4 linked regions of the Tribolium castaneum genome follow. The protein of the gene in region 3 interacts with the protein of the main gene of each other region in a pairwise test. Links are inferred from orthologs where the notes say so. Each region holds a gene or a part of one and is shown on either strand. Other genes may lie near its edges.

What was found.
Region 1: the proteins of dlg1 (region 3) and Sh interact in binary tests that used the Drosophila melanogaster proteins (3 or more experiments, as listed by UniProt). The link is inferred for Tribolium castaneum from reciprocal best matches to the Drosophila melanogaster genes dlg1 and Sh.
Region 2: the proteins of dlg1 (region 3) and Vang interact in a two-hybrid assay, tested with the Drosophila melanogaster proteins (3 studies listed by BioGRID). The link is inferred for Tribolium castaneum from reciprocal best matches to the Drosophila melanogaster genes dlg1 and Vang.
Region 4: the proteins of dlg1 (region 3) and gukh interact in a two-hybrid assay, tested with the Drosophila melanogaster proteins (4 studies listed by BioGRID). The link is inferred for Tribolium castaneum from reciprocal best matches to the Drosophila melanogaster genes dlg1 and gukh.

Annotation. Positions count from the first base shown.
Region 1 is NC_087394.1:28,574,665-28,580,329, reverse strand, and holds the start of Sh (potassium voltage-gated channel protein Shaker), read left to right. Parts: upstream 1-2,439; 5' UTR 2,440-2,976; coding exon 2,977-3,110; intron 3,111-5,665.
Region 2 is NC_087397.1:2,595,970-2,601,653, reverse strand, and holds Vang (van-gogh), read left to right. Parts: upstream 1-1,832; 5' UTR 1,833-1,849; coding exon 1,850-1,953; intron 1,954-2,002; coding exon 2,003-3,545; 3' UTR 3,546-4,066; downstream 4,067-5,684. Other genes in the region: Pfdn2 (prefoldin subunit 2), read right to left, coding at 432-726, 884-1,023.
Region 3 is NC_087397.1:8,451,503-8,457,219, reverse strand, and holds the start of dlg1 (disks large 1 tumor suppressor protein), read left to right. Parts: upstream 1-2,169; 5' UTR 2,170-2,331; intron 2,332-5,717. UniProt on the Drosophila melanogaster protein: During embryonic development, some isoforms are essential for proper neuronal differentiation and organization. Required for cell polarity; maintenance of apicobasal polarity.
Region 4 is NC_087397.1:4,770,541-4,776,236, reverse strand, and holds the start of gukh (uncharacterized protein gukh), read left to right. Parts: upstream 1-1,834; 5' UTR 1,835-1,995; coding exon 1,996-2,284; intron 2,285-5,696.

The sequences.
Region 1 (5,665 bases), on a different chromosome or scaffold from region 3:
AGCAGTAGATCGCTTTCTGGACGTGAAGCGTACAACATTTTTTTGCAACTGTCATGAGGAGCGTCTAACGTGGTCTAACGTCATTAACAATGTTAAAAACACGACTGCAATTGCAATACCTCATTCTTCGTGTAGCATTTCTGCACACAATTGTATATTTAATATTTATAATAAATAAGTAGTCCGAAAAAAATATCCAGCGCACTAGTCCGGTAAAATGATACTTTCCGGCATGAATTTTATGGAAGTAAAATGTTCATTACGGTACGGTTGAAAAAAACATTTTCACCGAAATAAAATTCAATACACCTTCGGTATAATGAAAAGATTTCTAGTACTTGTTGTTGCTTAAAAATTGAGAATAATTTGGTAGTAATTGTTTCAAAAGCAATTTTTTACAATACTAATGAAAATGAGATAATAATAATAATAATAATAATAATAATAATAATAATAATAATAATAATAATAATAATAATAATAATTATCGTACTAAATTATGATATTTTTAATCGTTTTTAACTGTTTTTTATTAATAAATAGCTTTGTTGAACATAAAAGCAAGACTTATAAATTACTAAATATCTAAATAAACGTCCATAACAGCACTGAACTGATTTTTCAACTCGACTTAACTCCTTCATCTGTATATCTAATTCCATAGAGTTTTTGTCAGTTTGAATTTTTTCTACATATTAGTTCTAATTTTTTTTCTTCTCTAATTTTAATTGTTACTTTAAAACTGATGTGGACTTTTGAACGTCTTCTATCACACAGTTTTTCTAGATAATTTTGTAGGGGACTGTTTCAAATGTAAATTTCACTCGTAGCTTATCCAATTTTCAACTTAACCTATTGAAAATGAAAATTCTGGGATAATCCTTTTTCGTCTTCTAAATTAAAAGTTCTTTAAAATTATGGGTTGGTGTTGTCTGAAATAATTAGATACGTTTACGTGTCCGTCTACACCCTAAGTATAGACTTTTTGTTGGTAAATTATAATATTCAAACAATAAAGTTTACATATCTGGTTCTTTTCCTGGCTTTAGTCATTCCTCCAATAAAACTTTTTTCTAATAAAACTGGCTCATAGTTAAAAGCTTAAGTACTCACTAATTGCAATTTCGTTGAATTATCTTACTCTTAATAGTAAACAAATCTTAAAATTGAACGTTTTAAAATCGAAGCAGTTGACGTTTTCCTGCACTTTTACGGTTTCTAGAGGGTTGTAAGACATCATCGTTGTAAGGTAGAAAAGTGCATACAACGTTGTTGGCGCAATTTTTATTTTTATTTTTTTTTGTTTTATTGAAAGTAAGGCAAGAATTAAAAAAAATAAATGTCAAAAATTAGTATAATATGAAAAATGAATCGTAGAAATTACTGGAATAAACCGTTTTGCTGTAATACTTTTAGTTTTCCAGTTATGAATTTTTTAGAGAAAAATTATAAATGTTTCTGTCACCGGAACCGTTGCGGAGCAGCTTCAGATTTTCACTAGGAGATAGGAGATTTTAATGTTCCTCTGAAGCTTTCTCAATCGTGCAACATATTGCTCACTTTCTGGATAATTTCTGTTTAATTTCTTGCTGAAATCAATTTAAAAGACTTTTGTGTTCTCGCTTTAAATCACTTGCTGTTACTATTTCAAGTTTTCAAAGCTTCAAAAATGTATTAAAATGATCTCTCCTAACAACGAAATATTTTTTTTTATAATACCCTTTAGATGAAAATTTTACGTAATTAGGTACAACCTTTTCATCTGAAACATTTTGGATACAACGTGAGAAACTATATACGCAGTGTTTTTGTTATTTGTTCTTTTGTTTAAAAAGTCTAAAGGAAATCCGGTGTATTGAGGTGCACTTTGTGCGGAAGAGCTTTTTCGTATTGTAACTTGTTTTGTTTATCTGCATTGTTTCCTCTATGCTAGGAAAAAATCCAATTTTCCAATTAAGGTAGTATTTTTTGTGTTCTGTATTAACAATGCCCGGAATTTGCTGTATGTGGTGTCTCCGCCTTAGGACGTTTGCAGTGTCGCACATCCGCATTGTAAAATATTTGTGCAATATTATTAAAAGGCATTGGAAGTTTCAATATTATCTGCAGAGTGTTTCAATTGGATACTTTCCAAAAGTTGAAAAAAATTGAAGCGATGTATGAAGCTGCGGGATGGGTTTGGGGGCGCGTGTCGCGCTGCGGCATAGTACGTTTGTAATTTTATGGGCGCCGTCGTCTGCGAAGAGGAGTCCTGGTGGTAATTGCGTGTGGGGTGCAGGTGGAGGGTGTCAGTGGCGGTTGCCGCAGGATGAATGGACGGATGAGATGCGCTGGTGCTGCAGTGCGATCTCCCATCACAGTGGCCCAGGTGGTCCGCAGTGGGCGGCGCCTGCGCCCCATCCTGCGTGCCCCGCGAAGTCAGGCCCGGACCTCAGTGTACCATACGCGTCGCGACGCGTCTGCCCGCCAACTGACGCCGCCGCTGCCGACCTGCACCTGTTGGAACGCCGCCGCCGGCCCAGGATGCCTGATCTGTTGGACTCGAATCGGGCGGTCTTCGACGCTCTCTCCGGCTCCCGGAACCGCTCGGAGGACGAGGACCACGTGCGCGATTAGTCCACGTGCCCATCGGACTTACCAGGAGGTCAATTTTAAAAATTTTCACATCTTGCTCAATGTAGTTTAGCTAGTTTATAGATAGTTTTGGCAGTTTTTCGCTACTTTTATCCAGTTATCTTCCATTTTTACATAGTTTGTAGAAGTTGTACATAGGCTTCGTTATTTCGACCCTCATCCAAAATTAACGCAATTGTTCGAATTTAGAGTATTAGTTTTAAGGAGAGTTTCAAGTGCGACGATGGTGCTGTTTGGTTGGAGCTTTTGCAGTGATTAGTGTTGTTTGTGACTTCCTGGTGTTTGCACCGGTTGTGAAGTTTTTTTTTTCGGTCGGGGGGTAAATGGTGATGATCCGCAATCATGACGATGTGGCAGAGTGGGATGGGGGGGCCCGGGGGCAAGAACAACGCGTGGATGAAGCTGATGGGGATCGTCCACAAAGAGCGCCGACACCACGACTCCGGAGCCACTTCCACAGATCGCACACTTAGCCAGTAAGTAGCGCTGACACCCTCCCGAAACGAAAATAATTTTTCTTATTACACGATAAAATTTAATTTTATCGACTGCCCGAAACTGTTAAAAATTTGCAAATATGTAAAACTATATTTGTTTCTATAGTAAAATTACCTGTAAACATTTTTGCAGAAGTATACGTGAAAAATAATTATTTTTTGTGATACCTAACTTTTGAAAAATTAAATGAGAAACTATCAGTATCTTTAAGTCCATCCAGAAACTGTATTTAAGAAAAAGTAAAGTATTCAGGGTGTTTTAGAAATATGTTGTCAAACTTATGGTGGCGGGGGTTATTGGGAGCATTACGACAGTAAATGCATCTAACTCTTAATCCTTTGTCCAAAAAGTGATATTTTCTTGTTTATGCCAAAGACCAAAGACTTACATGTTTATCTTCTCTGATAAATTTATTTACACTTGGTGGTAAAACTTAATTTTCCGTTTTACATGAACTTTTTTTGCGACAAAAGTTTGCTCTTAAACTGCTGAAATAGTCGCATTTAGTTTGAAGAGTACGCAATTATGAATAGATGATGCATTCTAAAAAATGGCTCCAGTGACAAAACGACTTATTTAGTATGGGTTAATGGGCAAAAAATTTCCACCAAAATGAAAGCTATACCCTCCTAATTTTTCGCTAAATGGTTTTTAAACACCGCCTATTTTCGGTAACATTTTCTGAAATACTACTAACCGATCGGAATTACAATAATTGATGTTTTCTAAACTCATATTACTGTTGACTTTTTCTGAAGTACATGTTACAATTGTTCAGAATCTCATTTAGCGTTATTTGAAATACAGCTGAAAAATGTGTGGAATAAAGCATTTTCCTTATGTCCTTTGAAATGAAGAACGTTGGCAACCCTTCCAGTAAGTAGCCATTTTTCACACTTTTCCTTGCCACGTTCCCACCTTCAAAGTGAAAGCTCTTAAATTTAATTATGGACTCAAAAATTCGATTTTAAATCGACTCGAATCGAATGCTAATCATTTCAGCATGAACGATGCCGAGAACATTTGAGGAACACAGAGTGAAAGATATTGAGGGAAAATTGCTCCTTTGAGAGTTCTTATTGAAAAAAATCTCTGAGTCGATTACGCAAATAAAACATTTCAATTTAAGGTGCTACAGTCTAATATATAAAAACTTTTACTCAAATTTGTCTACTTGAGTGATATTTAACGGTTCTAGTGTTTTTGCAGACGAGAGGAATTCAATAAGAATCAAGAAACGTTCAATACGAAGAGCTTGAATCGACATTTGCCTTTGGTTCACATTAAATTAAAAATTAAATTTCAGTTTATTTTAATTATTTTGAAACGTATATTATTTTGTCTGTACACTCATTTAATCCTGCATGAAGCGTCAGCTGCTGATAAAACAGTTTTAATGATTTTTTTTCGCAGAATAGAAATTTAAAAAATCAAACTAATTTGTGGGCATCCAGTAACCAAAACTTGTGTCTTAAAACCCGTCCTGCATTTAAATATCTCGTTATCCTTAATTGAATTCAGTTTTCATCGCTGGCCTATTGCCTTTGTTCCCCAATTTTAGCGAAATAACGAAAATTTCTTTATTTTTCGGGATTAGCGCAGAGATCGCAGCACGAAGCTAAAAGTCATTAAATTTTAACCTTGTAGCCTCGGGTTTTGCGAAAAGTAAACGAATGTAGGGTAGAAGAAATTCCCACTGTTTAAATAATTTAGTAGCCTGCACGAGGTCCTAGAAAAGTGTAAATCCTTTGTTATCAAGATTTTTATTTGGGAATTTCTAATGATACACTTGGCGTGCTTTCGATATTATGCTAGCGCTTTGAACTGTTATTTGTCAGTCTTCAATGTAGCTGTCAGTCGTATTCGTGATAACGAAAACCGAGGCTGCGTGCGCTAGCGTTTAATTTACCTGAAAAGAAACTTTAATTATTTCGTTGCTGGAATCAGTCTTTATGAATAAATCATTGAACCTTTTTGATCTTTAGTTGAGATAACAATCCATAATAAAACGTTTGTTTAGAGGTTAAAGAAAAATATAAATGGAGAGGTTTCGCTCGAAACTCCTCCGAGGTTTACCTTAAATTTGCCTCCAATTTTCGGAATGTGATCAGGGTTTTTCCGTTCTCAGCAAAAATAAAAGCGCAGTTTAAATTGTTTCTCTTTTATCTAGATTGTGATTTTAGTATTGATTTGTTGAATAAATTTGGCACAGTGATATATTAAATTTAATTTTAGGACTGTCAGATCTAAATCAAAACGGCCAAAGTTATGCTAAATTTACTGCTGGGTGGGTAATAGAAAAATTTCCATGGATAAAAATAACACATAAATAATGAAATTCATTAATTATTCACGTGGCTAACAAGGAAATGAAAATATGTTTACGTAATTGAAATCGATCGAAAAATTCATATTTTTGATTTGTTTTCTTTCCACAGACATGAAAAAGTTGACTTTGTTCCGGGTCCATAAATTCCCAAAATCAGCTTTTCGAATTTGCTCACATTGACGAATGCTTTTTGTATTATTAAAA
Region 2 (5,684 bases), about 5.9 Mb from region 3:
TATAATTAAACCAGTTTTTTTTAATGTGGTGAATATTAAGTGCTTTAATTTATTAAAACTTATTAAGGCTTTCATTTGAATTTTTTAGAGAAATAATTTAAAGTCATGGTTAGGCAACCAATAATACAGCCACAAAAAACGAAAGAAATTTAATTGTTTTTTTTTGTTGAATATGCAATTGAGATTATAATTTATTGGTGCTTACGTAATTCGTCATTGGGTAATGGGGGTAAATTAATAAAAAACCACTTACAAATTAAATTTTTATTCGGATGAAATATGTTACATTACCTTGCAAAAAACCAGCACAGCTCTCATAGAAAAAGATGAATTTGTTAAATGCCGACCAAATTCGAATGAAATACATAAAATAAATATTCTACAAAAGAAAAATCCTAGCTTAGGTGTAAATAAAAAAAGCACATGCATATTTAAGACACTAAAACATTTCCTCTACTCTCTGAAGCCGCCACTTGCTCCTCCTGTTTCGGGGCCGGATTATCCAACCCTCTAAAGCTAATGTTATACTTTTCCCTGTATTCATTAATCTCCACACCTTTCTTCGTGATTTGTTCTTTCAACTTTTCAATAAGTTCTTTGAGTTTCTCCAAATTCGCAACAAGTGCCGGAAGAACGTCCTTCACTTTTCGCTCAGTTAAAACCCCCCCGACTAGTCGGAAGCAACGCCGGTCTTCGTTCACGTTTTGTAAAGTGGCGATGACCATTCTGTAAAAGCGAGGTTATGTAACATTTTACAAAAAAACCGGCAACCACGAAAAAAATTTCATTTCAAAAATGAAAATTTACTCAATTTTGAGTAATTTGCCGTGGGTTTCGCCGCCACAGCCCCACGTTTGGGGCCACAACCGGGCCGGAAACTTACTTGTGTTCGTTGGAATCGGCTTCGAATTCCGTCAGTTTTGATGAAAGGGTGCGCTGCTCGGCCCTTAGCGCTTGAAAGCCGTTCAGGATCTCCTCGGGCGTGAGCCCTTTGGACGATTTCTTTTTCGAATCACTTGCCATTTTTGGTAAACATAAATCCGGAATTTGAGAAATGTCACTTTGTCATGGTCACGTGACGCAGCCACATGATGTAAACCTGGCGGAAAGAAAAAACCAAGCGCGTTTTTGCCAATTTTGCGATAACCAGACAATGTGGATTTTTTTTCAATTGAAATTTATCTTCCCGGGTCTAGACTACGTCTATTTTTTTCCTCGTCTCGGTTTCTTTGACTGAAATTCATTGGAAGGAATTGCTCTATTTAGTGTTTTTAGTCATTTTTGGTTTACACGGTAGCCATGTTGCAGCCATAATTTATGGGGCAATTAAATTGCTCCTAAACGTAGGCGTTTACATTTTATAAACTCCGATTTAGTTTTCAGTAAATTTTGAATAAATTTGAATAAAAAAGCATGTGTGGAGTGTCGGAGGGAATTGGTTACGTGTGTGGGGAAAAAACGGTGCGTGTTCCAAGTGCCGTTTGAGAAAAATGATCCAGTTTTATTAGAAAAACGCACACAAGCCGCCGCACTAATTTAAATGCAATTTGTAAACGATTTACGCAACTCTTACGAAACAAATCCCAAGAAAATGCATTCCTCCTGAGCGAAACGAACCCCGGAAGTGGCCTAAGGCTCCAAATAACGGAAATTGTTTGGATTTTTTATGCACAAATACATGTTTACGAAATGTCATCAACGTGAGGAGTCATTGAACTTATTAGTGAAATAATCAGGATTTTTGACGAGAATTCCCGCAAAAGTGTTGATAAAGAACCACTCATGACAGTTTCTTGCAAAAAAAATCCGGCTTTTGGGAAAATACATGGGCAACGAAACTGGACGAGATATGGAGACTGAATCCATAAAATCGGAAAACAGTTCACGATCGAGACGTTCACGGGGGCACCGCGACCGCAACAACTACCGACAGCACTCCCACAGAAGCACCAGGTTCGTGCCCAAACAATTCTGGACCATCTTGAAAGTAATTTTTTTACAGAAGCTCCAAGTCTCGCAAAAACGACGAGATGGCGCCCTTCCAGACGGCCGTGACCCTCACCCCCGACAACCGCGACGGCCAGGAGGTCATCGAGGTGCAAATCCTGCCCCAGGACGACAACTGGGGCGAGAACACCACTGCCATCACCGGGAACACGTCCGAGCAGTCCCAGTCGACCGAAGACGTCAGTAACTGGCCCGGTGAACCTGACACCGGGCTCTCCTTCGTCTGCCAAAGATACATGGGGACGGTGCTAACGTACATCCTTTCAATAGTTGCCTTCTTGAGCCCCTTAGCCATGGTCGTATTGCCAAAACTGGGGTTCTTCCCTGCGCTGTCCTCGCGGCTGGGACTCGCAGACAGCGCGAAATTGTTAGCTTGCGGGGCCGAATGTAAAGGCCAGTTGGTGTCGTTGGCGTTCAAAATGGCCATTTTGGCGGTCGGGGCCTGGGCTGTGTTCTTGCGCAAGCCGAATGCGACCTTGCCAAGGTTTTTCCTGTTTCGGGCGGCTGTCCTAGCCTTTGTTTTAGTCTGTATTTTCGCCTATTGGCTGTTTTATATAGTTCAAGTGACCGAGACTGCGCGTGCCGCCACCACACCGGAGGAAACGGTGGATTATGAGGCCTTGGTGGCTTACGCCTTAAGTCTGACTGATACGCTACTTTTTATCCATTACTTGGCTGTAGTTTTGATGGAGATCAGGCACCAACAACCGATGTATTACATCAAGGTTGTGCGGAGCCCCGATGGCGCTAGCCGCGCCTATGCCATAGGCCAGTTAAGCATCCAGCGAGCGGCTGTTTGGGTCCTTGAAAAGTACTACACTGAGTTCCCCATTTATAACCCGTACTTGGAGCGCATCCCGGTGTCAAAATCGCGCAAAAACTCCTCAAGTTTCAAATTTTACGAAGTGGATGGTGTTAATAATTCCTCCTTGCAACAGTCGCAGTCACGGGCGATGTTGGCGGCGCATGCACGCCGACGTGACTCGAGTCACAACGAGCGCTTCTACGAAGAGCACGAGTACGAGAGACGTGTGAAAAAACGCAGGGCTCGACTGATCACAGCCGCTGAAGAAGCCTTCACTCATATCAAACGCTTACATAACGACCAAGTGCCTGCCATCCCGATGGACCCGCACGAGGCCGCCCAGGCCATTTTCCCGTCGATGGCACGAGCCCTCCAGAAGTATTTAAGAGTGACGAGGCAACAGCCGAGGCACTCCGTCGAGTCGATTTTGACTCATTTAGCCAATTGTCTCAGTAATGATCTGACCCCGAAAGCGTTCCTCGAGCAGTATCTAGTGAGCGAGCCCGTTTTGCAAAATGATAAGGAAGTGAAGGATGTGCAGACGTGGGCGCTGATTTGCGAGGAGTTGCTAACGCGCCCGATTGGAGACAATACGAGCTTTCAGTTGAGGCAAAACGATGTCTCGCTGCTTTGCACGATTAAAAAGATCCCGCATTTTAATATTACGGAAGAGGTTGTTGATCCGAAGAGTAATAAGTTTGTTTTGAGGCTGAATTCGGAGACCTCGGTATGACCTATAGTTTACGATCGACTTATTTAAGCACATATCGGTTTGTAGTATTGTATAATTCGTGGTCAAGCGGTTATTCTATTCCTCCTTAAATAATTAACGTTATTACAAGACTTCGTGTAACTAATAGGGTGTAAATAATTTCCGTGGTTGTGTAAGACCAAAACGAAATTTTTATCAGTTTTATGTGATATTTTTTGCAATAATGTTTATTTCAGCTCAAAATACTCGTAATTTATTTTTTACTCGTTTTATGAATGCACAAAGTGTAAATTATAGCACAAGTAATTGTAAGGCAGGTACTTAAGTATAGCGTCAACTGATGTAGATACATTTAAGAGGTTTGAGTCCAAAGATTCGGCATGTTTGGACTGTTTGTGCCTAAAATTTGTAAGATATGTCAGTGCAATTTTTTCCGTAGCTCTAGCTTATCTCAAAGGATCAGTATTCTAAAAATGACATTAAATGTAGCCTTTTATATCTCTTTGTGTATGTACACCGATCTGTGACCGTGTTTTGAATAAATGTACTAATTTGTAATAGTGTTTTTTTTAAACCTATCATTTTTCTGGGGTTATATTCAGGCATCCCGAACTGATATAGCCAAATAGAGCCCTCACTGACACAGCTTCCTTGATTATTTTATTTATAGTTACTGTATTTAAAATGTGTCACTCAAAATTTCACTTTTCAACACCGCATTTAAAGATTTTAACTGCAATTAAGTTTTATGAAATTATTGGTTTGTGAAATAAATAAATACGACACAGCAATAAAATAGACCTACCTTCATATCGCTTCCACGTTGGCTACCGTTTGTAGCATTAAAAAAATTAAAAACAACACCAATAAAAAATCTTTATTTGCATGAAAATTACAAGCGACATAATTTTACGGCTGTAAAAAACAATCAACAATGTTATATTTAAGGATTGCTCTAATTGGTCAAATTAGTCAATAACTAATTTGTCCGGCAAGAACCACGTGGAGGTTTAGAGCATTCTTGCCAGGAAAAAAGGATATAAGGATGAGGTAAACAATGATTATTTGAAAATGAAGGGAATAAAGGAATTATTGGTTTGTGAAATGAAAAAATAGTACACAAAAATCAAAGCTTTTTCACTTGGCGTTAAATAAATGCTCTTACCTTTTGAACTGCATCTGCTACCATTTGTAGCAAAACCTAAAAAATAAATTAAAAACACAACCAACAAAAAAATTAATTTGTAGGAAAGTTACAACAAGCGACTTTAATAAATATTATACAGAATAAAGGATACACAATACGGTATAATATATGGCACACAAGCTATTAAATCAACACATCACAAGATAAAACGCAAAAAAATGCACCTACCTTCATATGGCTTCTGCGTTGGCTACTGTTTGTAGCAAGACATTAAAAAATAAAAACAACACCAATAAAAAAATCTTTATTTGCATGAAAGTTACAACAAGCAACGTTTGTCAATATTAAACAAAATAAAAAATACACAATACGTTTTAATATGTGGCAATTCAAATTCAAAACTTCAGTAAATAAATACACCTACCTTCATATCGCTTCCACGTTGACTACCGTTTGTAGCATTAAAAAAAATAATAATAATAAAAATGAAACCCAAAAAAAAATGTTTATTTGCTTTAAATTTTGAGCAAGCCACTTTCATTCATTGAAATTAAAGACAAAATTATTACGTGGCAATATATTGTTTGAGTGTTTGATTTTGTTTATAGTTACTGAATTTAAAATGAGTCACTCAAACTATGACTTTTCAACACCGTATTTAGAGCCGGTGTACACAACATTGTAATTGCAATTAAATTTCATGAAATTATTGGTTTGTGAAATAAATAAATACGACACAATAATAAAATGGACGTACCTGTATATCGCTTCCACGTTGGCTACCGTTTGTAGCATTAAAAAAAAATTAAAACAACACCAATAAAAAAATCTTTATTTGCATAAAAATTACAACAAGCGACATAATTTTACGGCTGAAAAAAACAATCAACAATGTTATATTTAAGGATTGCTCTAATTGGTCAAATTAGTCAATAACTAATTTGTCCGGCAAGAACCACGTGGAGGTTTAGAGCATTCTTGCCAGGAAAAAAGGATATAAGGATGAGGTAAAC
Region 3 (5,717 bases):
ACCTACGTTGTTAAACAAGGCCGTCCTTTGAACGGATGCAAAAGCAGATTTGAAAAACACAAAACAACTCTAATGATGTATCCGCAAAAGTGATTTGCTTTCAGGACAAATTTTGAGAAAAAACTTGATGCATTTGCATTATTTATCGTGTTTTGAATGTACTCTGTTCGTTTTATTGACAAACATTAAAAAAGGCCGGATATTATTTGCGATCTTGTTGCTTTAGCCATGCGGCAAGTTATCTCTTCTTGCAAAAATAAAATTACTAATTTTCAGCAGTTTGGAAGCTCGTAATCAAATGTTCCAGTTTCTTCTGAATGGAGCAAATGAGCTCCCGAATTTGCATATTCTGATTAGCAAATTTTTCTCAAACGGACTATGAATTTTACAGAAAAAATTGAACAGGCAGTAAAACTGCAAAAATGAGCTGGTGTAGCTTGAAAAATATTGTGAAAACGTGCACGGAACTAGATTAAATTACTTTTAACTGAACCAAATGTGTTTGCTTTCTGTGTGACAATAAAAAATTTTGGCCCTCATGAATATAAAGGATCAAACAAAGCTCTGGTGCCACACTCTTTAAAAATCAAACTCCGCTTTGTACTTTAAAGCTCGTTAGGCCGATTTTATTACTGGGTGTTGACCAACCCTTTTGCAGGTTTATCTTGCATTATCTTTTATTGCGTCATTATTTTAATGAAAAGTGAGACTTCCCACCTATCTGGAGTAACATTTTCATTCCCAGCTTGTGCAATAAAAATTACACAGTTGGGGGTAGGACAAGAAGCCTCTGTAAAGCACTTTCTTGTTTAATGAGTCACGTATTTCGGTGTCGAATACTCGAGCTCCGAATGTAAAGGCTTATAGGCAGCAGGATGTGATATTATTAACTTTAATTGTCAACGATAACAAACAAGTCCAAATAACACTTTTTTATTAAACGGCTTCTGAATTAAGTAGAAGATTCGTTCTTTTCATTTTTTTTTTCAGATTGATGCAACCTTCTTTAGGAACTTGTCGATATAATAGGATTTGGGTGTAATGACAGTCGGGATTCGTTTCGTCTATTTGATCATCGTTTAGAAAGGCGTTCGATTTGTTGTTTATTTGCTTTCACAATTTAGATTTATTTGCATTTTGCAGGCTTTTTTGTAACACAATTTACCGTTTTCGTATCGATTTTGATCAGCCAATGCGAGATTAGGTAAAAGGGTTTGTCTGTTTCGTTTTAATCTTCCAACACATACATCGCAATTGTTAAAAATAGCAGGCGGCAAATAACATTTTCAAACATCAACTTACTCATAATATTGGATACTAAATTAGTGACAAAATTAATCTAAAGTTGACAAAATTGCTCAGACGTTCTCTAAATTTTAGAACAGAAAGAAGTCTAGAAAGTAGACAATTTTTGATTTTATATAAGATGTGTGAAAAATGTCCAAATATCTGTCTGGTTTTTAGTAATTGAGAGGGTTCAGTGATAAGAGGATTCTATATGATGAGAGGTAGTTGTGACGTCACGATTTCTTTCTTTTGCAGCGATTATCTCACGTATTTCTCATTGCAGGAAATTTTGAAAAGAATCTACTGGTGTTAAACAAATGATATTTTCAATTTCTTAAAACATTGAACTGATAATTTATGTTGTTAATGTCTTTAAACCCAAGGTGCGGTTTAGTTTAAACCACGCTTTAGACAATAAGTTGCACTTATTTACGGTGCAGTTCATTTGACACACTTGTAAGCAGAGCTTATATATTAAGCCATACCGCACCGGTACAGTTAGGCGTTTTTTCGTTCTTATTGAAATAATTATTGCAAATAAAAACTTTTAATCAATTTTGTTGAAAACTTTCCGCTTTTGCCGGGTTTCTGATTCTTGATTTACTTTCCATGTAAATATTTTTTGTTTGGTTTTTAATTGAGTTTTGCGACTTTTTTCCGATGTAACTTCTTAATTAGTCAGGTCCTTAATACATATATTAAAGGAGCTGCGTTCTCAGATCTCAATTTTCATGCAAATGTCACTACATATTTATGGAAGAGGGCAGATTAACCAAGTGCACACCGTCGAAGAGCGGCGGAGAGAGGCAAAAACACGCAGTCGCGGTGTGCACGAGGCGTCGGAAGCGTCGAGATGCCGCCGTCCCCAGTTCGCGGCATCCGCGTTCCATGACTGGTGCACTGAAGAGGTACCTGTTGAAAAACGAAACTTTGCAGTGACATTTCGTGCGCCGATACATTTAGCTGATGTTTAGAGGACTCTTGGCGAAGTTTGTGTGGTGCGAGTGATTGTGTTAGGTGGAGTTTTACTTCTTTGCTTGGGTCGTAAGTAACTTAGGGCTTGTTGGGAGATGTGAAAACGCCTCGGATAACGGTCCAAGTTTCGCTTTTAATTGTACTTTACCGATTCGAAGGGAGAAAGAAACACAATAATAAAAAACGATATTATGATATCTTCAGTTTTCTTTGCAACTTTCAAATGAGTTTAGGAAACTCAAGTCTCGCACCGCCTGTGTTCATAAGGATGAAATACGATAATCTCTTTCCGTCCGATAGCGTAAGTGTCAAAACTGCGAAAATGTGATAATCACGAATAAATTACTACTCTCTAATCTGTGCTTAATAGCATAAAGCACTGTTTGTGAATTCTTAATGAGCTAACTGCTGGAGAAGAAAGAAACAAAACGGACAAAAAAATAAATCAATAGTTAACAAAAAATCACAATGGTGTCTGCTTTTATCCTGAAGGATTAGCCACGCCATCCAGTACAAAAATATGAACTGATGCTTTATGCAATCATGGTAAATAATTTTAGCGAAATTAACGCACCCAATAGCTGAAAATACACACAGATATTATGTATAATTAACGTGTACATTACGTTAGTGTTTTTTGCTTCAACTATGCCTGGGTTAGGAGCAATAAAGCTTTTGATTCAAAAAAGCACTCTCTTTTTGTGCTGCGCATAAATTTGATTATTTTTTATTCGGAAGCAAAGCTTTGTGAATTTATAATTGTTTTCAAAATTATAAAATCTATTAGGACTGATTTACTTTGAAAAGCGCTTCACAAAGCTTAAAAATTTAAAAATAATTATAGTAAAGTAGGGTTTATAGTTAAAGTTTTGGGTCCAAATTGGTCTGCTTTCAACTATTATGACCATGGCCACCGGAAAGCTAATTGTGGTCTGTTTCGAACGCTCTGTGCTAAATTCGTATAAATTTTCTTCCAGTATTTTCCAGTAGCTTTGTTTGAAACAGCTTATTTTCAGTCAACTTGTCTTCAACAAGATATACTTTCATTGTTGAAATTGCTTTTGTAAGTACCTTGCTGTAGAATGTCACTTATAATCAAGCGTAGTTTTCTGTGTAAACAATCTTGATATTGTGAACGTTTGAATATGACAAAGACTATTTAATTTACAATTTTCCAGTGCTAAATATTTCACGTAACTGCAGCGATAATGTATTCATCTAATTATTCTAAATTGTGCACGTTGACTAACTTTGTTTAATAATTAATTTTCATTGTAACCATTATTTTAGTTCGCCTTGATTTCGGATAAGTTTGGCGAAGCTTGATTAAGATTTTCTCGTTCTCTCTGGATTTTACTAATGAAGCTAATCAGGGATCGATTTATTTGGTCTGTCAGAAAAAACAGATCTCTGGAGAATTATTTAATGAAAAATTCAACGTTTACAGTACGTTAAGTTAGAATTTCAATCAGGATTTTCTGATTAACGTTTTGGTGATTATCGTTGATAGGAAGTAGTTAATCCATATCCTTTAAAATCACAAGTTTGATTATATTGTTTGAAAAAGTTTATTTCGGTTTTGCAACAACAAAAACAATAACAAGCTTTGGGATCGTGTTCCATGTTGTTTCTGAATTTTGTTAAAGGACGCGTTGAAGTTTTTAATTCAGGAGCTTTTTGTAGAGTCCTTGTTATACTTTTAGCGAGCGAGAAGTGACAACAATGCATTAACTGCTCAACTGACGCTGTTAAATTTACTTTTTAAAATATCGTTTATAGAACGACAGCTTGAAAAAGATGCTGAAGCGATCACAACTAACAATTTCTGCTTTTTTATTTCGTTACGATATTTCTCTGATGGCAAGAAATGTCATAAATGCTTTGAAGCTCCTGCCTGTAGTTTTTAGCTCGTTATTCATTTACGTGCCAGAACTATGTAAATTTTTGGGGTGAACTGACGACGTGTAGAGAATTTATTAATTCCATAAAACAGTAAGCTTAAGATTTGGGACTAGTTTTTGCTTCTGGAACTAATTAGGTTTCTTTTTCTCCCGAAATCTGTTCGATTAATTAGACATTTAAGCTCCTGTCTTAATTAAATTCGGTCCTAATTAGTCAAAATTACATCCGCGGAATTATTCTTCGTTCAACAAATTTTGAACTTTTTCTCGAGATTACAGGGGGGTGGCTATTGATTCAATTAGTAAAAGTAGCATTATTTTGCTAAGCCACTCACTGTGTGTTTTAGATGGTTTTCAAGTTCCATTTAGCATCTACTACATGTCAGTAGCAACACTTGCAAAGTTAGTGGGCACCTCCATTACAACTTCCACTGTTAAAAGTTTTGTCTTGAGGTTAATTAAAGGGCCACCGCACTGATTAATATTAAATTTAAGTTTGCCATTTTTTGACAGTGAGTTTTAAAGTAAACAAGAAGTTGGTTCGTCCAATTTTCCAAATTGTTTTGATCAAAAGTTTAGTTTGCAAAGTGGATAACCCGTTGTAGTGTAATAAGTTGGGTGACAATATTTTGGACGCCATAAATCGATGAGAGATTTTGCTGTCGGATCCACTTCCTGGCAGTACATTGCTCACCATAAAAGGAGATAATTCCTAACATGTCTTATAAGATCCGACGTTATTTATTGCTTTTTGTACGCTGTCGACAGACCGGCTAGAAGCCTAACAATAAATACATAAAGAAAGTACAATAAATCCAGCTTTCAAAGCATGTCTGAAAATCCCCGCGAAATGCATCTTCAAGGCTGGATCCACTGTACCTCAATCATTTCTTCTTTAATAAACGTGATTTAAGGGCTCAAGTATGATTTCAAACGGAAAACAATTTGTTGAAAATATTGCAAAATCTCAGCCATACTTGGTTTTGTGCTCCTACTTCCCACCGGTTAAATAACTAATAAGAGTAGGTATCTGTATTTATAAAAGAATATCCTAAGTAACATTTTTATTTAACTTCAAGTGGAATTACGAAACATAAGACGAAACCTGCATCGTTTGAAGTCTGAAAAACTGGAATCATTCAGATTTCTCCTCTGTGATATGCCGTTCCGCATCTGATATTAATTGGAAGTTGTGTTCGAGAATTGCTCAATCGAAACGTAGAAGCAGTTACTACAACAAACTGAACACCGTACATAAAAAATGTACGTGCGAAGATTGATCGATTTAAATACGTTGAGAAGCATCAAATTAGAAACGTTCTCCAGTTGCGTATTCTGTGCGCAACTCTAAAGTCGTGTATTATACTTAAATAATAAAATTATAATAACAATAAAGCTTGCGGCGTGATATTTCGAGGATTTGCCATCCTCATGCAAATTCGCGTTAATAGCGAGTGGTTATGGCGTGATGGTTTAAGGCCAATATTTGTTATATTACCGTGTAAAATATTCAAATTTTGCATGTAAAGTTCAGTGAAGTATAATACGAAACAA
Region 4 (5,696 bases), about 3.7 Mb from region 3:
GGCTTCAAATTCACTGCCACTAGACGGGAATCCGTGTCGAACAGTATTGCATTCCTTAATACAAAAGAGTGGTGCTTATTGAAGCAATTAAATTATTTGGATCATTATGAACTGTTTTCTCATTAACTGCAGAAGCGATCGTTTTTGTAATGAATGACCCAAGACTGAAGTATTTAATTAAAGACCTTCGTCAAACACTCCTTACCTACCTTTGATCTCATTCCGAAAATCGATGTTTGCAATATCGCACTTGTTTTTATTTTTAGTCGCATTGTCTAGCTTGCGATGTGCCAAACAAATCTCGTCACGGAAATTAAAATACGCCCAAAAATTGCTTTGATCCTAACAAATTTGGCGAAACGTGGCGACTGATTAATGAAACTGCTAATAAAAATCTACTGTTCTACACCTAATCCTCTATAAGGAGATTAATATTGTACCTATGAAAAATTAACGTGCCAGAATGCATTTAATGTGTATAATATTCTGGATTGATGTGATGTCTTCTTGTAACTTTTGTAGACCCCAACCAATCTCTAAAATAGCGTACTCGTTATGTAACAATAGGTAATAGATGATAGGACATTTGGGTGCCCGGTAGAGACATCCGTTTACAAGAATCGTCTAAAACACCAATTTGTTAATCGATTGTTTCTCGTAGATTTAGATTTTTTACTTTCTTTCTAACATTATCTGTGTCAAAATGACAACATTAGTAATAGCTTTAAGAAACGTACTTATAGGCTAGTTATTTTGTAAGACTTTTTTCTAGTTTTCTATCATTTCGCCTACGTAGAAAACGATAGCTGTATGTCTTGTTGTAGCACGATAGGGTTCCACTTCGTTACTTGACGGTGTTTTGCTAAGTCCCTCATGAAGTTCGTTATTTCCTCGGTAAAGTACAAATTTATTTAAATGAACAGACACGCTTAAAGTACACCCCTTGTTTCGCCTATGGACTTGTCAATGTATTACTAACGCAAAGAAGATGGTTGTTTATATGTGATGATGTATGTGTAAAAATATATTTAAGAGATAAATATTCCATGTTAAAATATTACAGGGTTTGTTGACGCTTTCTTTTTCGTTTCGTTTTTAAATGTTTTAACTATAATGTGCTTAAGTAAGCTGATGAGGTTTTTTTACATAATCATTAACGTTACGAATTTATCGTGAAATATCAAATTAAAAGTAATATCGCCCTGTTGAATATCATATTAATATTGTTATAAGGGAACAATAATATTTATTCAAGAATTATAACAAGATTTTATTTTGTATATTGTCGCATATAATTATGCAAAACTATATAATATACTGTATATGTGTACAATAATGTTGCTTTGTTAATAAATTTTGTGCCAGACCTTTGTCCTTTATTTCGCCTCAGGCTGAAGGGTCGTGGAAAGAATGGGGAATAAAAACCACTGGTGAATGTAGTCTCTTTATTACAGATTATTTTATAGATTTTCTACCGAAAAAAAGAAATCTATCTTTATAGCTTTGCTTCCTCATGTCTTGTTTTTGAATGAGATAATTGGCGCAGTCGGTAGGATTTGCAGGACCGCTTTCGGTCTAATCTCAAATAAGTGATATTTTCATTATTTAATCCAGTGAACGCAAAACAATGTGCACTCTATTGCTGTGGCCATACACTCGAGTTTCATTTGTTTAGATCTTATACTATGGTGCAGATTGCTGTTGCCTGTTATTAGTGCTTGGGCTATCGCCTGCTAGATGCGGCTTCAATCTAAAAACTTCGGCGTCATGCGCTTTGGTTTCGATTCAAAAGCTCAAACAGCGGGAAAGCCCCGGTTTCGAACCGTGACCGGTGCGGTATCGGCAACCTCGTGCATTTGTTTGCCGGCAATCTGACAGTGAGGTAGCTGCGCGTCCGCAAGGCGCGTATCTTCGGATTCAAAAAATGGAAAACTTGGTAAAGACTCACAGAATGTGATAGTGCGCGAACTGAGTGAAAATGAAGTGTTGGTGAAAATGCCGTTCGTGCAGCGAGTTGTCGAGCCGAAATTTTTGAGTCGGACGAGTCTCTGGGACGAAGAGGGCAAGCCTCTGGTCTCCGACGATGAGCTGGAGGCCGTCACCAACAACACCCTGAGCAATGCCTTGCGGCAACTCGCCTCCTTGGTGCTGATCGCCGATGACATCTTCGCCGAACTGGGCAGTCAGCTCAAGGAGATCAACAAGAGGTCCGAGGGTCTGAAGGCGAAGATCGCGGCTGTGGAGGGAAAGGTGTCGGCGTTTGATCCCAAGAAGGTTACAGTTCGTAAGTAGTGGTTTTGTATTGGCGTTCCTCAGGTAGAATTATTTCGTTGATGGCGCGCTGTAGCCTTGAAATACCTTCAAGATTTACTGGATACATACTTTATCGCGATCGATTGTGTACTAAGGTCGGCGAGAGAAGTAAAAAAATTCAAGAAACGTGCCTCCATCGGCTCGGGTTTTGTACTTTTTCTGATTCTTGTCTAGCGTTCTCAAAGAAACAAGGTCGCTATACCACCTTTGCCTTACCGGAGCTTTTTACAATTTTTCAACCGACTCGCATCGCGACCTCCACGTCGTTAACGAAGAACAACCATTCATTATTATTCCGCCTGGTCGAAGCTCTAATTGAAGCCTGATTACCTCCAAATGCTGAATCCTTATTCCTTTGACTTGCCCGTCAAAACTTTGCATACTTAATTTATAATCTACCATCGACAAGTCGCAACGGAAATTGCATAAGTAATTATCCTTCAATCATCCAAAGGAGTTGCAAAAATCACCACTCTGATCACACTCAAGTTTTTAGTAAAATAACTTTTAGGAGGAAGTCCAAAATGAAAAAGAAAGTCACAGAATAAATTAAAACAGGTTGACCATGAGAGGAAATTATGAATATCTGGGCATGCCATAATAGAAATAAATTGGTGTTTGCATAACAACATCTATAATTTTTCCAAAAACATGCATTCATTTTATGTCCAGCTGTTCACGTTCATAGTCGTTTTGTCGTCTGTTTTGCATACACGTTTGTTTCGTTTTATGGATAAATCATTAAAACTTTATGATTGAAACAATCAAATACAAATTAACTGAATTTTTCTAAGAGTTGAATCATACCATAACATAATCGGCTGTTTCAATGTCTAATCTGGTTCTAGCCTTGCTTATATAATAGTATTATTACTCAAGCTTAATATTGGAAGAGGTAACTAATTGTATAGCTTCTGCAAATAAAGCCAAGAATTTAAAGAAACGTCTAGTCATTCCACCTTTATTTGTTACTGAGGGAGAAGCCGGCCTGTTTCAAATTAAAGTCTAAGTAGTGATCTACGAACAAAATATTATTTTCCACAAATGTAATTTGGTGCAATTGATCTTTTTATTAAAGTCCGATGATTGCCAGAAAAATACCGGCCGGCTTTTGCGGTAAATTGGTAAAAACATCGACAATGGAGCGCTTCGTTAAAATCGATAGTCATCTATATGATCTAAGTGGAGGTTATTGGTCATTGTTCGTAAATTTATTATCGTGAATCGTGTGAAGAGCCTGCGATGTGCCCAATCAATTACCCGATAACATCTTAAACCTATTAAAATATTAGTTTACGAGAAGATGCATCACGAATTGTGAAACCCGAGAATTATGGCGAAATATTCTTTTCGAAAACCGAACTGGCTAGACAGCAGCTAGAGGAAGTCTCCAGAAAATTAGTGTACATTCATTGAGAGTAGGAAAATCAGTTTAAACTTGAGCATCCGGCTCTCGTAATGAGCGTAATTATGAAAACTCAGGAGGTCATGCACACCGTGAATGAGATCATGTGTTTCTGTCTAATTAATTTTGATCTTGAGCGCAGTCATTCCGATGTCCTTATTAATTTATTAATTTGTCACGATGAAAGCGAACGTTATTAACGCAAAGTTCACTCTCATTTTACTTTTTTCCGAGGAAATGCATCAACATTCCTCCATTCATCGCTCGTAATCTCCAATCAATTACTTTCAAACGGCTTGATTAAAATTCAAACGGCTCTTTGTCCATACGCCACCTGAAACAATCGTTAGGCGACCGTTGCAAGGTAGTTCTTTGCATGTTATGAAACCGGAAAGCAGAAGGGACGTGGTGTCTGCTCTAACCGTCACCAGCAGTTGGAATTCTTAGGGTGAGAGGAAACGTGAGGCGACAGCTGATCAGGATACGCACCTATGGGGTGTAAAAATACCACGAGTTATTTTGAACGGTGGTGCATGAAGAGCAGCTTCAGACAGTGGAAAACGTGTTAAAATCCACCTGGAAGTAATGAAACAGACAAATAAGGAAGGCCTAATGGCGCTGCACATTGATAACTCTCAGGGGTGATAATTTTTGGGTAAACATGAGAAATTCCTCTGCTGATTAAGCAAAGTCGTAAAAAGTTGGTTCTTTGGTAAATACAGTGAGTGGAGGTGCTTTGGGCTTTGCATTTGCCATTATTGTGCATGTTGCGTTTACGGGTATTAGAATGAATAATGAGCAGTTCATTCCTAGATTATCAATGTTTATGTATTTGTTTACGCCTCATTTATCGCGGATAGGATATCGATTCTGCCTATTTCTTCCTGCGGACTTGGCCAATATTTTATCTCATTCGTTCTATTTGCTTTAGTTGATACAATAACTTTCAGGAACACCTACTAACTCCACACACTGACTACTCCACTTATTACTTTTATCGTTTTTATGTACCAAGTTTCCGACGCACGGGGCTTCCCCATTTGAAAGTGTTTTATCACAGACGGCAAGTTTGCTACAAGATCAAGATTGTCTGCAGCTTGAAATAATTCAGGTCTAAAACGACTTCCATCTGAATTAAATGAAATGATATTTTGAAATCGCTTGAATGGCGGCCAGGTGGAAGAAGTTTGGCCATTATCATTAATTTTTTCACTCTTGATTCTCTTTAAATTGCTTCGAAAAGCAAAACGATCGGATTTTGAAGTTGCTGAAAGGAACTTTCAAGCAATTTGTCATCGCGCCTCATCAAAACCACAAATGAATCTCGATTGAAGCAATACAGAGCGTGTCATTGCATTCGGTGCATTATGAGAGGTCGTGCACCATCTCGGTGAATGGTCGTTCAATAATAGTCAACATTCTATGACCACACGATTAAATTATGCCTCACTGGTTCGCAGTTTTTAAAACTCGTGCCGTCTAATTAAATAATGTTAATTACGGGCCATTCATCACAAACGTGTTTAGAGAATTAAATTTGTAGCTGTTGGGGGTTTTAGCATAATCACTTGACATAACGTATGGTGTGCACGTTCGGTGCATCTCGTCTTGAAATTTTTCACTCAAGAGCTCTCACGGCTCAGCTGTCCTTAGGCGACAAAATTCTCCTACCGAGTCAAATTGTCATTCTCTACACTCCGAAATCGTGTTGCTATTAAAATTTCACGCGACTTTTATCATTTGTGGAAATGGAACGGAAGTGCAGTTCACCTTGTGAAATTACTGCTCCGAAACGTCATTGAAAGAAAGGTACATTTACTACAACACAGCTGGACCGCTCGTACCTGTGCAACAATGGACGAATGAAATTCCGCTGCCATTCAAAAACCGACCAAATTTACGATTTCTTTGGATAATTTATGCAAATAGATCGTTAGTCTTTGCCTCGAACAGGTTGCTAGAGCACATGAGAGCCCAG